3 linked regions of the Schizosaccharomyces pombe genome follow. The gene in region 1 interacts genetically with each later gene. Each region holds a gene or a part of one and is shown on either strand. Other genes may lie near its edges.

What was found. A genetic interaction does not mean that the proteins touch.
Region 2: of nbs1 (region 1) and sfr1, changing one enhances a phenotype caused by changing the other (phenotypic enhancement), as found in Schizosaccharomyces pombe (one study listed by BioGRID).
Region 3: mutations in nbs1 (region 1) and rad2 are lethal when combined (synthetic lethality), as found in Schizosaccharomyces pombe (3 studies listed by BioGRID).

Annotation. Positions count from the first base shown.
Region 1 is NC_003423.3:2,648,077-2,652,980, forward strand, and holds nbs1 (Mre11 complex BRCT domain subunit Nbs1), read right to left. Parts: upstream 2,902-4,904; 5' UTR 2,839-2,901; coding exon 2,802-2,838; intron 2,743-2,801; coding exon 2,689-2,742; exon of another isoform or gene 2,651-2,688; coding exon 2,562-2,650; exon of another isoform or gene 2,458-2,561; coding exon 2,309-2,457; exon of another isoform or gene 2,270-2,308; coding exon 2,190-2,269; exon of another isoform or gene 2,160-2,189; intron 2,148-2,159; coding exon 979-2,147; intron 933-978; coding exon 669-932; 3' UTR 501-668; downstream 1-500. Other genes in the region: SAGA complex deubiquitinating submodule subunit, TREX complex subunit Sus1, read right to left, coding at 1-240, 309-388; Prp19 complex WD repeat protein Prp17, read left to right, coding at 3,570-3,680, 3,722-4,486, 4,526-4,904. UniProt on the Schizosaccharomyces pombe protein: Component of the MRN complex, which plays a central role in double-strand break (DSB) repair, DNA recombination, maintenance of telomere integrity and meiosis.
Region 2 is NC_003423.3:1,578,518-1,582,403, reverse strand, and holds sfr1 (DNA recombination mediator Sfr1), read right to left. Parts: upstream 1,949-3,886; 5' UTR 1,717-1,948; coding exon 817-1,716; 3' UTR 524-816; downstream 1-523. Other genes in the region: hrd3 (HRD ubiquitin ligase complex subunit), read left to right, coding at 1-301; ERMES complex subunit, membrane tether and lipid transfer protein Mdm12, read left to right, coding at 2,456-3,277; SPOM_SPBC28F2.05C (xylose and arabinose reductase), read left to right, coding at 3,399-3,886. UniProt on the Schizosaccharomyces pombe protein: Involved in DNA recombination repair and meiotic chromosome segregation.
Region 3 is NC_003424.3:5,389,063-5,393,179, forward strand, and holds rad2 (FEN-1 endonuclease Rad2), read right to left. Parts: upstream 2,361-4,117; 5' UTR 2,200-2,360; coding exon 2,187-2,199; intron 2,118-2,186; coding exon 2,027-2,117; exon of another isoform or gene 1,850-2,026; intron 1,842-1,849; exon of another isoform or gene 1,646-1,841; coding exon 607-1,645; 3' UTR 524-606; downstream 1-523. Other genes in the region: SPOM_SPAC3G6.05 (Mpv17/PMP22 family protein 1), read left to right, coding at 1-29, 94-191, 261-333; SPOM_SPAC3G6.07 (uncharacterized protein), read left to right, coding at 3,211-3,588. UniProt on the Schizosaccharomyces pombe protein: Structure-specific nuclease with 5'-flap endonuclease and 5'-3' exonuclease activities involved in DNA replication and repair.

The DNA of each region.
Region 1 (4,904 bases):
TTATTCCCTCCATTTGCTGACTCAGGAGGATTGGCCAACTTTAGAACGCAGGTCTTAATGTCTTTGAGCAAGTCCATTTTAACCGAATCGGGAATACTTTCAGTTGCAGACTGCAAGGCGCTCTCATATAGCTTTTGAAAATCAATTTTAGAATCGGAATTCACAATTCCCCGAGTGTAGTCACGTAATTGAGTTGTCCAACCGCAGGATTCAAGTTTGTATTCTAATTCATTTGCTAGCCTACATTTTTTAAATTGTTGTTTAGTTATAAAATTTTTTTTTTAAAAAAGAAAGCCTATCTTTTATACCTTTCATAATCTCCAGTTTCATATAGCTGCTCAACAATTTTCTCAGTGGTCATCTTTGTTGAAAATATGAGGTCGTACATTGCTACGCAGAAATATACCATTGCAGATGCAAACGAAATATTTAAACCAGCATTGAAAAGTAACCTTTATAATTAAATCATTTTTTAATTTAGGAGTTGAAAAATAAAATATTTGGATTTCATTCTGAATACGATATCTCAGGTAAGTAGTCAATAATAGTACAATATTATTAAAAGTGTAGCTTCTCTATTTTTTACTATAAACAAAAAAACTGACTATCAGTAATGCATTTTTTGACAGTTAATAAACTACAAAAATTCTTTGGAAATAATAGCTTTATTAAAAGTGAAACTTGAGATCATTAAATTCATCGTCTTCGTCATTATTGGTTTTAGGAGATAGTTCTTTAAATGAATTACTCGATTTTTTAGAAATTGATGATTTGCCGCTTTTGTCAGACGATGCTCCGGCAGGAATACTTTCTACTTTTGACATGAGTCTTGGTACAGGCTCTAAATCTGTATCATCTTGGTCAAACACTTCTGTTTTCTTATGCTCAGATAAAGAGAGAAAAGCTTGTAAAGGTGCTTTTTGTGAAGCTTTCTGTATGAAAAAGATTAGTCGAAATTTTCTTTATTATACCACATACCTTTTGAAATTTTTTAAAATTTTTACGGCCCGAATAATATTTTGAAGTATGCCTACTGTTAGCATTCGATTTCTCGGATGACATAATTCGAATATATTCGACAGATCCAAGGTTTCGTAAACGACGATTTTCCTCAAATGCTTTATCATCTTCAGATTCTTGGACATTCTCTGAAGGTAAACTATCTACCTCCGCATTGGCCTTTTTCTCACCGACAACATTAAGTTCTAATGGTTTGAACGGAGAAGAATTTCCTTTATCCACTGAATTATAGGAAACATACTCAACCTTGGTCTTCCCCTGACCACTGCCTGTGTTTGCCGATTTTTTTGAACTGGATTTTAAACTGTTTTTAGTTTTTTCACTATTATCACCCGATTTTTTATTTTGAGCTGAACCATTGTTTGATTGATTGCTTAAATAACCCTCAGGTTCTTTTCCAAACATTTGTTTAGGTTGTACGAAATCCATAATTGAAAGGTTTTCTAGCGTTTTTACTCGCTTGCTTTTTGGCGAACAAGGCAATGGCTTTTTTACAGAAAATAAATCATCAACGATGTTCTTTTGGATATGGCGTTGGGGTTGAATAATTTTTTGGGGGGTTGAATTAGAAGCAGTAGCATACTTTAACCTCTCAATTTCTTTTGAGATTAGTTCCCTTGAATTCCTTTCAATGATTATCTTCCATAGCTGCTCAATAGTTAAACAAAAGATACCTTCTGGGAAAGAAATCTTCTCAGAGTCATATACTGCGTTGTTTAATACAACGAAATCCGTTTTTGAAATCAATTCCTTGTCTATATCCCCAAGACTCATAAAGGTCGATATCCTCAAACCCAATAACTCCAATAAGTGGTGGGACTCACTCGACGTATTTAACATGGCGCAACTGAATCCTTCTAATGAATTTATGCAGTCTTCAGGAGATGACGGGAATTGATCGTTGTTCTTTATGATATTTTTAAAACATTCAAGCGCATCTGGCATTAGGCTGGCGTCTTCAATTACGGATTCTTTAACAGTTGATAGGTACTGAAGATAGCTATCATCTATAATTACAGTTTTTTTAAGAAAAGCATACATAGTTCCAACAGTTATACTGGACCCAGCTTGTCTGTTCATAACAAAGTGGGTAGTAGCATCGCTATCGCGTAGTCCAGTCGGTATACCTGAAAGTTGATAAGAAGTGAAAAAAAAAAAGACCGAAGTACCTAAGAGGTTTAAATTTGAAGCCCACTGGGATAACATTTCAGGGTTATCGAATTGTATACACATACTTCTCCAGTATGCACTTAAAGTTAGTAAATCATATATAGTCGATAAAACTTACTTTATCGTGAATGGACATTTACCCAGTTGTATTTTAAGATCTTTTTCTTTGTAAGAATCACCATTTTGACCAACAACTTTTTCATTAACCTTGGTTCCAAACTTCGTATCGAGGTCCTTTACTTCAAACTCGCATGGGCCACCGGTAAACTGTGCACATATTAGCTGGCATTGATTTAAAATATAAGAAAGATAAACATATAATAGAAATGAAAAATGAAAAGCTCAATATTTCCATTTAATTGGATACGTACGTAGTCTTTCTCACTTGGGGTCAAAATCGTAAAACGAGCATGGCGTTTACTAATTGATTTAGAAATCACTTGAATGTGGGACGAATCGTCTGCAATATTAGAAAATTAACAAAAATAAGAAACTTACCAGATACATTTCGACCTACAATATAAGTTCCTGGAAATAGTATCCGTGATTTTCCTGCTGTTTAGTACGTACAATACGGCCATAATGAAATTGATATAGCTAGTAAGAGATACCTTTTAGAATGTCACCCTCAGCCTCAATTATCCACATTTTTTCAACATAAAATTCTTTTTATTGAAAAAATTCAGAAACCAGAATGCTGTTTTCACAACTGAGGATGCATAGGTGCGTCGCTTTTAATTTTAGTACAATTGAAAGTAACAAAGTAACCCTTTATGATGTCCAAAAGCCCTTCGTTAAATTAGAAGCTAAATCTACTAAACCAATTCTTGAATTTGAATTGACAAAGCTTGCTTTTCAAAGCTTTCTTCAAGAAAAAGTTTAATCAACAAAAACTCTTAAAAAATTTATAATTTCAAAAAATTAGACTTACACAGGTTCTCTGTCCTAGCCTTGCAAACACAAAAAATACTGTGAGTACACTAGAAAATGAATTTACTAAAGGGGTAAACTATCGTACCAAAATGAAATTTTTAAAGTCATGAGCTTATGTGAGCAAACAAACTTCAATTAAATACTATTTATCATACGTCGTGTATATGCACTACTGGATAACTTCTTTTACAGTTTAAAAAAGTCCATGCCTCTTTAAATAACTAACTTTATTTCTAGTTTTTACTACATTCCTTTATTTTTTAATCAATGAATTATCTATTACCTATCCTAATAAGCAGAAGTATGAGTTAGCTGTAGTGTTTCATTTTCGCTAATTGATATTAGCCAGGAATCTCTCATCCTCGCTAAACCTCCCTACAGCTTAATCTTCCTTAAACCATTACCATACGAATTTGCTGGTTTCATATTCGCCGTTTGCAATTTCTATGTTGGTTGCAAACTATTCTAGTGATTCAGAAGAACAGGAGAATTCCCAATCGCCTAACATCCAACCTCTTCTGCATACTGAAAATTTAGCGCCAGCTGTGGTTGATAACGTATTTATCAAATGTTTTTTATAACATGCTAATCATTTTAGGTAAAGGATGATTTAATTGTTTCAAAGGGAGGAAACTCTAGAGAATTAGCGCGTAATGTCCCGGTTAATGAAATGGTGCAGCCTGCTTTAGGGCCTGCAAATCCATTTGTCACTAAAGAACAGGATTCTATAAAGAACAGTATTACCGGTTATGCTGAGAGGGAATATGTTCCAAATTTTGTATTTAATCAAGAATATTATGCTAATACACATGCTATTTATGGAAAACGAAATTTTGATGATAACGAAGCTACTACTTCTACAGATTTAAAAAGGAAGTCCCAGAAAATAAAAGAACGTAGAGAGGATCCTGGCGATCCATCTATCCTTGAAGGGGATGGTGCTTATAAGGGGCCATGGGCCGGATACGGTTCTGAACAATCCTCTTCACCTTTGGAGTACAGTGAATATGAAGAGGTTGAATCCCTGGATGTCAAAAGTGAAAAGGATACGGAATCTAATAACCTGGGTCAAAATGAATTATTGAAGGAACAATTAGCTACTCCAGAAGTTGAAACTCATCGCTCTAAAGAAGAGACTATACTTCATAAAGATAGATTATTTGATTATCAAAATAGAAGCTATATGCATGTCCCGAATGACGTCGGAATAAATTTATCGGAAGAGCCTGGTGAACAAACTTGTTACATTCCAAAGAAGCATATATTCACTTGGAAAGGTCATACGAAAGGTATTTCCTGCCTTAGGTTTTTTCCGATTAGTGGCCATTTACTTCTTTCTGGCTCAATGGATAATCAGATAAAGGTATGTTTGTAAGCAAAAAGATGATAAACTAATATTTAGATTTGGGAAGTTTACCATGACCGTTCTTTGCTTCGTACATTCCAAGGACACGCTCGTCCTATCCGCGATTTATCATTTAGCCAAGATGGACGATCATTCTTAAGTACTAGTTTTGATAAAACAATTAAACTCTGGGATACCGAATTAGGGAAATGTTTGAACTGCTTTAATTCAGATAGATTAACAAACTGCGTCAAATTCCAAGTAGATCCTGATAAACCCAACGAGTTTTTAGCAGGAACAGCTGACAAAAGGATCCTTCAATTTGATATCAGAAGTCCTGATATTGTTCAAGCATACGATCATCATCTCGGCGGAATCAATTCCATAACATTCCTTGAAAACGGAAAGCGCTTCGTTACCACATCTGATGACTCTT
Region 2 (3,886 bases), 1.1 Mb from region 1:
CCCGGCAGGTCCGGACTCACAACTTCCCCCAGAACCACCAACACTACAAGTAGATCGTACACCACAACAACCTGACCCTCAAGAAACGTCTGAGTCCTTGCCCTCGCCTAATACTGAAGAGATGGGTGAATCCTATAATGATATTCGTTTCACTTATGATTACATTGATGGAAGGTTTTTGGAGACTGCGTGTGTCACGCTTATTGTGGTAGTTGTCGGACTGGTTTTAATGAGACGCCATCAACAGCATCGACTTCAAGAACGACGTGAGCGAATCATCCGTAGACAAAACCGCGCTTAATAAAAATTGTATCTTCGATTTTTTTGCGTTCTAATTTAAAATTTTGTTGCTCGATGGATGCAGAATAAAAAATATATGTATGTTAGGGTTCGTCGGTGATTAAATCATGCTTTGAATAAATTTTGTTTTTCATCTTTCAATTGGTTGATCTATATTTGTTGTCTGTCAGCCAATTAATCGACTTTTGTTGTTTGAATGTTAAATATCTCCAGAAAAAATTTAGAACCAGAAGGTTCAAAATCAAGAAATTTCAAATTAATGAGACATGTTATTGTATAATGCTAATAATTATATAAATTAAAGTCATAAACTCAGCCTGGAACGATTCATTGTTACATGTAAAGAATTTCGATACCAGCTCGGCGCAATTTGTATGTAAACGATTAAGGTACCTCTGTACGTTCAATTAGTATACCCTTGATTTTGGTGTAAGCTAGCTAAACATATTTAAGTTCGTACTAAAGGTTTTCTAACTAGTACGAACGAAAATTTTTTTAACAATAGTAAGGAGTCCTTTACGATTTCCAATCACCATTTTCTTCATCAAAAGACATCAAATGAACAGGAACACCAAACTGATTTAGAAACATACTCATTGTAAATTCAGTTCGTACTTCCTGAATTTGCCCTTTATTTTCACCTTCTTCAATACGAAAGGACTGAGTAACACCTCCAGCCAAACGAATACGTTCAGCCATTGGTTTAAAAAGTACTTCAGCGGCTTGCTGAGCAGCATTTTTCCATTTCTGTATCAACGTTTGCAAGTCTTTATCTTCATTTTTGGCTTCAACCTTTCGTGCAGTTTCGGCGGTTATGAGCTGCTCTTGTAAATTTCTGACTTCTTTTTCAAGTTTTAAACGACGAGAAAGCAACTGTGTGATTTCAGGGTCGGACTTTGGATTAAGGCAATTAGAGATAGGTGACTTGAAAAGTCGTTTTTGCCGTTTTATTGAATTAGGCGTTGTTCTTAAGGGAGAAGTAACAGGTTCTGAAGAAGTGTTTGTTTCATCAGAGTTAAGATTTGTTACAGCTAACGATGGTTTTAGATTAGTGTCTGCAACTTGAGGACTGGCAGTTTGTCTTAAGGGGCTTTTGAACGGCTTAAGAAGTATATTTTTGGCTTCTCGAGCCCTTTTCTTTGAAAAAGGTGTAGTAATTGGTAAAGAAGTATGTATTTTTGTATCTCGCAGGTCCGGCGTCAAAGCCTTCTCATTCTCTGGATGTACTGTTTCTGACTGCTCGATAAAACCTAGGTTATCTGAGTGATTGCCACTGTTATTGCATTTAGGAGGGTTTTCTATTCCTAACTGACCCTGTGAGTCACGTAAATCACTTTCGCTTAGGGAAACTTTCAAATCTTCTTTACACTGTGAAGTAGCATTTTCATTGAGTTCAGAGTTAATTGTTTGCGACATTTTCAGTTAAATCGTTTTAAAGTACTAATTCGAAGATGAAAGAGTGAATGTTAAATTATAACAAAGATGCAATGAAGCGCGTAACTTTTGTCAACAAACGCGTTGAGTGTAATAGTTGAATGTTTAAACTCTAACTTCAAATAATTAAATGAATTGAATATTAATTGTTATAGAAATGAAGAAATACCACAAATTCCAGATAAACGTTGAAAACGTTTTACTAGCAGAAGGTGAAAATAACAGCAAGCAACAAGAACTTAGGTAGAAGAAGACTGAAGCACATGACTGGTGGTTCCAAAAAATTAAATGTTTATACAAATTACGATAGTAATAAACTAAAAGGTTTATTAATTTACAAATTTGTTTTTTAACCTTTTTTAAACCGCGTAGGCTTTGTTAGAAGGTAATCTGGGAATACCACCTAACTCTACTGACAATACTAGGAGAAAAGATTTTGGTACCTACAGAAGGTAATATTTAAGATAAATAGATATCTTAAAAATTCACTTGCAATTCTCGATGAGTAAAAAAGAACATTGAAGGAAAGGACATTAAAATTGCTGGAGGATTTTGTTTAAAGTATCAAATTCATGCCGTCTTCGTATAAAATTTAGAGAACCGGTTTAAATATTATTTCATTAACCAAGTTGACGAAGAAATTACTTAAATTTTGAAAACTTGCTACAATCGTCATTGAGAGATTCAAGAGTTCGTATTTTTTTTTTACAATTGCAGAACAATGTCTATTGACTTTGATTGGTCAAAGTTAGACTCAGAATTAGAAGCAAAAGTTTTACATCTTCTCGAAGGACAAGTTTCGAATTTGTCGCTACCATCTTATATAAAGCATTTAAAGGTTGTTGACTTCCATTTCGGCAAAGTCTCACCTCAGATTACTATTCAAGAAATCGGCGATCCTGATCCCCAATTTTATGAAAATGAAGCTTTCGAATTAGCTAACCAAGAACTAGAGGGTGATCAATGCTCCCGCAATAATGTTTCACCAGTGCTTACGGATCTTCCACCTTACGCTGCTGAACATCCATTTTCAAGACTAGCATATTTTAATCCCGCATTTAATTCACCCGGGATTCTATCTGCAAGTGGACTCACAAGCCCAATTCCTGAAAGTCGCCCAAGTACTCCAATGGATAATCATCAAGAAAGAGATCGTTCTAACGATTTCCAAGTTACTGCACACGTATCTTATGACGGAGACGCAAATCTAAGCCTGGAAGCGGTTCTATCGATGAATTACCCGAACTCTGAATTTGCAGTTCTTCCATTCAAACTTTCATTTATTAGGATTTCCATCGATGCCATTGCTGTTTTGGCTAAAATGGGAAAGCGGACGCATCTATGCTTCGTTGATACATTGCTGCACGGAACTGGAGAGCATGCATCAAGTGTTATTCGAGATTTAACAGTGGAAAGTATTATTGGAGAATCTAATAAACAGCTGCTAAAAAATGTTGCTAAAGTCGAGAAATTTGTATCGGAAAAAGTTAAACGTATTATTGAGGATGAACTTGTCTGGCCTAGCTATATAACCATTGAATAATTCTTTACAATTATCCTAAATATATAAAAAATTTCCTTTAATCTCCTACTTAAAGGTTTAGGGATTTAGAAAATATTTTTGTCTATACATTGAGCTCTCTCATCTACCTCAACTTACGTTAATGAAACCATTTTCTCCTTCTCAAACCAATTTTGAAAAGGAACAACTTTGCTTTGGTGTATATCAACTTAAGGATTGCTACCAGCAAGTAATTGAGGCACTCTCGCTTGGTATTCGCGTAATTGATTCAGCAATTACATATCGAAATGAAAAAGAATGTGAACAAGCCATTCAAGATTTCTGCCATCAAAATGTGAATATTAAACGTGAAGATATCACCTTAATAACTAAGATTCCTGACTCCTTACAAGGATTTGAACGTACCTGGAAAGCGGTCGAACAGTCTCTTCGCAGAACAGGTCGTCCAAAGTTAGACGTCGTGCTAATACATTCACCAAAGTGGCCCGTACGCCGTATTGAGTCTTGGCGAGCACTATTGCAGCATCAAAAAGAAGGAAGGATAAACAAAATTGGAGTTTCCAACTATAATATTCATCATTTGGAAGAAATTATCAGTCTTGGGTTGCCCCTTCCAGCTATTAATCAGGT
Region 3 (4,117 bases), on another chromosome or scaffold:
TTCAAGCTGTTTTCTGGCCCACTTTAAAGGTACACTTAATTTCTAAATTTTCTTTCTTAAATGGTTCTGTTGTATTGTTGCTAACATTTAAAGGCTAATTATATGGTCTGGCCCTTCTTTCAAACTGTGAACTTTTGGCTAATGCCCTTACAATACCAAATGCCATTTGCTTGTACGGTTGCTATTTTTTGGTATGTTGTTTCCAAGAGACATAAAGCATTTTTGCTCCTAGTTTTTTCGCCTTTGCTAATTTCAATTAGGAACATATTTCTTAGTTTGAAGAACGCTTCTTCAATGCAAGAATCTGGCTCACAAGAAATTGAACTATTTTAAAGATCTTTGATCCATCGTCCGAATCCACTGCTTTTCGTTTTTTGAGTTGTATCAGCCAGATTGTTTTTTGGCATATTATTACTTAGAAACGAGTTTTGTATACCATTATTAGCTTATATGATCAGAATTACCTCCTTAGACTAATTATTTTTACGTAAAAGTCATGCATTAAACAGATTTACTATTATTATAGCGTAGTATAGTTTTATCTACATGCGTCTTGCTTTTTTTAAGTTTTTTTTTTAGATTAATAACAATTACATGACTTCGTTTTCAACGCTTTTTCTTGCTTTCACCACCCTTATTTGAATCTCTTTTCCTTTTTGCTGATCCTTTGCTCTTTGTATCTACAGGTTTTTTGGGAGAAGAAGGGACTGGTTTAAAAAAGGAATCAAGACGACCCTGTGGAATTGTCTTTGAGGCTTTTTCTAGTCTATTGATCCCCAATTTAACACGATCTTCATTGAAACCTTTTTCCTTAACCAGAAATTGTATAATGCCATCTGCATCGGGACTTTTCCATTTCAACTCAATCTCTTCACCAGGAAGTACTTCTGCATCCAAAAACAGTCTTCTGGCATCTTCATAAGGCCAATCTTCCGGAATAGGATATTTTGATCGATCCGCCTCTTTGACAAAGCGATCGAGAGTCCCGTATTGCCTAATTAACTCGACGGCTCTAGCGGGGCCAACTCCCCGAATAGGTTCACAATAGTCACAACCCAAAAGAATACACAAGTCTACAAACTGCTCCACCGACATATCTAAACCATTCAATGCTTTTTCTATGTTATACTCACTAATTGGTTCCTTTCTTTGCTCACTAAATGTCAGGTGTCTCAAAAGTACAGGAGCTTGGAAGCACAATGTGTCCATGTCCTCAGAAGCAGCAGCATAAACTTTTCCTGAACGGGCTAAAGCGGCACATTGAGCTTCTGCTTCACAGGGTGCGTTAACGAAGGGAATTCCCATTAACTCTAGTAAACGTTTTGCTTCGTCATTATGTTGCCGAGTAACTTTGACCGTACGTTTGGCAAACCGATCCACCATTTCAGCTGTACCAACCTCTTTTGTCTCCTCTTGATCCTCTCGTGCTTTTTGATGTCGGGCCACACGTTTAGCTAATTCCCCTGACTTCAATGTTGGTGGTTTTCCATCAAAGACAAAGCAAGGCTTTATTCCATTATCGACAATTCGGAGTGTACGATAAAACATTCCCATTAAATGACTAGTAGTCTCGCCTTGTTCATTCATTAGCTGTTGACCATCTTGACTGCGAACTTGAATTAAAAATTGATAAAGACTCATTGACCTGTAATATACGAAATTAGCATTAATAAAGTACCTCAAGAAGACTTTATAAATCAACCCTTCGAAAAGGAAAGAATCAGTTGAATAGAGTTTGACCTATTAGTGTTTGCAACTTCAAGAACCAACAAAGTAAAGAAATGATGTAAAATACCTTGAGCAATGAATTTAACCGAGTCACTGTTAGTGAAAATTTATTCATCCTTTATTCTATATTTCGTTTGTATCATATCTTTGTCTCGAGTTAAGACATAGAGCTTTGCTCTTTAGCAATAAAAACTGTACACCATAGTGTTTAACCCATATTTACAAACAAAATCAGAAGCCATACAGTCTTTGCCAAGTCAACTGAGACTTTCGCTTTCTATTTAGTCTTTCAACTTACGCATCTATAGCCACTTTCCGTCCAAAATAATTTTTAATATCATTATGTTTGACACTGGCTGGGGCATGCTCGCTTAGTACTTGAGCCAAACCTAACCCAGATTAGTTTTAAGTAAAGGAGAGAGTAAAAGATAAACTCTTTAGCGTTAAATGTAACATACCTTTAATTCCCATCGTTTAGCAAATATACTTATTTATGTATATTACGAGATCCCGAACAACGCTTTCTCCAAAACTAGCTTAGAGCTTCTTATTAAATTTTCAATTTTTGCTAGATGTATTATACTCCTCAAAATCGAGCAGTTTTTACTTTGCTCACTCACACAAAGGTTCTTAGCTACCAGCAGTAGTATCCACGTCAAAGAGTCGATTCAGTAAATCACATGTTACTTTTCCATAAAGAATGATCGACCAAAGAATGTAAATACAAGGAAAGGGACCAGCCAATTTATACTGAAAATTCCCATGTATTATAGCTTTTAAAAAAGGATTTCTAGAAGGAACAAATTAGAAATTTTAAGATTACCAAATTGAGGTTCTTGTGGTTTTGGTGGCAGCACGGCTGTAAAATGTAAATCACCTCGCAGTTTACTACCACGAAAAGATCTCGAAAAGGTAATGTACCATCAGAAATTCTGGAAAAATGATCGATTCCTTTTTCCGGATAAGGAATAGGATGAAAAGTACATTGGAACTTTACCGAAACCCTATTGACTTGGCTAGATGTAAGTCTGTGTAACATAAGGTTGTTTTTATGAGAATAAACCAGTGGTTTTACGGTACTGAGATACCGTAGTGAGAAAGCCGCTTGAATTGCTCAACGTAATATTTTTAATAGAACAATAGCCTTGATTCATGGAACAATGTTGGATAATAGGCATTTTACCAAGAGAGTATTATTTGAAACTCGCCATATCTGCTACTGAATCGTCGAAAATATAATCGTAACCAGTTTATGGTATCGCTTGTGTAGTATGCAGACAACGAACAATATTGCAATATTCTACTAATAAGGTTCCTTTACCGACGTATTTCGTGCGGATCAAAACGTCATTCTGATCTTACGTTGGCAAATTCTAGTTAATGTCGGCTCGTTGAAAGAATATTATATGAGATGCTGCGCGCCTTGCTTACAGTATACTCATATCCCAGTGCAACCTCAATTTACCTGTGAAAGCAAGAACAATGTCTGAACAAAGCTCGCCATACTTAACATTGGCACCTGCCGATTACGAAGGAGAAGATGTCTCTAATGAAAAGGAAAAAAACAGTGTTATTCCTGATGTTATAGACTATTATAACAAAGGTAGACAATATTACCAATCGTTTGTGGTTTATAAAGCAACTGCTAATACCATTTTCCAATTTTCATATTTGTTGTATATATACATCGACCTCACTAAAGCTGATCAAACCGAAGTGTTACAATTTCTTAAAACATATGTTGAGGATGAATCGTTTGTTGGAGATGATTTTGTTATGCCAAAGTATACACTGGTTTTACCATATCGAGTGTATCGTGATCATGTAAAAAAACATGGAGATATTATAACGCCAAAGTGAAGTGCTAAATCTATTTTAATGTTTTCTTTTGTTTTTAAAGAACTTTCTGCTTGCATGAATCGCTCATTTTATAAGCAAATACCAGTTATATTGCTTCGCTTATTGTTATGATTTTTATGGATTCAAATCTAAAGAGAATTGCTAAATAGTGATTCATTAGTTAAGTTATTTATTTTTTAAAAAAAATAATAAATTCAACAAAATAAATGTAATCCTTTTTTTTTGGATCTTTTTTTCTGCTTCTTTGCTTTGCAAGTATTGAATTTTTTAAGTTTTTTGAATTTTGTAGCTTAGTAAATCGATCTGTAACCTTTTGAAAAAACAAACTTAAAAAAATACATGTTATAGTATGCACAGTGATATAATCAAAGTTGAACCTCTATTTGTTGATCCCAAATCGAGTTAAGGAAACATTCCTTAATATTACATTACTTTTCGAATTTACATTTGATTACAAAGAATGAATCTTGTTCATTGCAAAAAGGGTTCAAAATGTTATTCGAGTTTTATTCTCGATTATTGATGCACT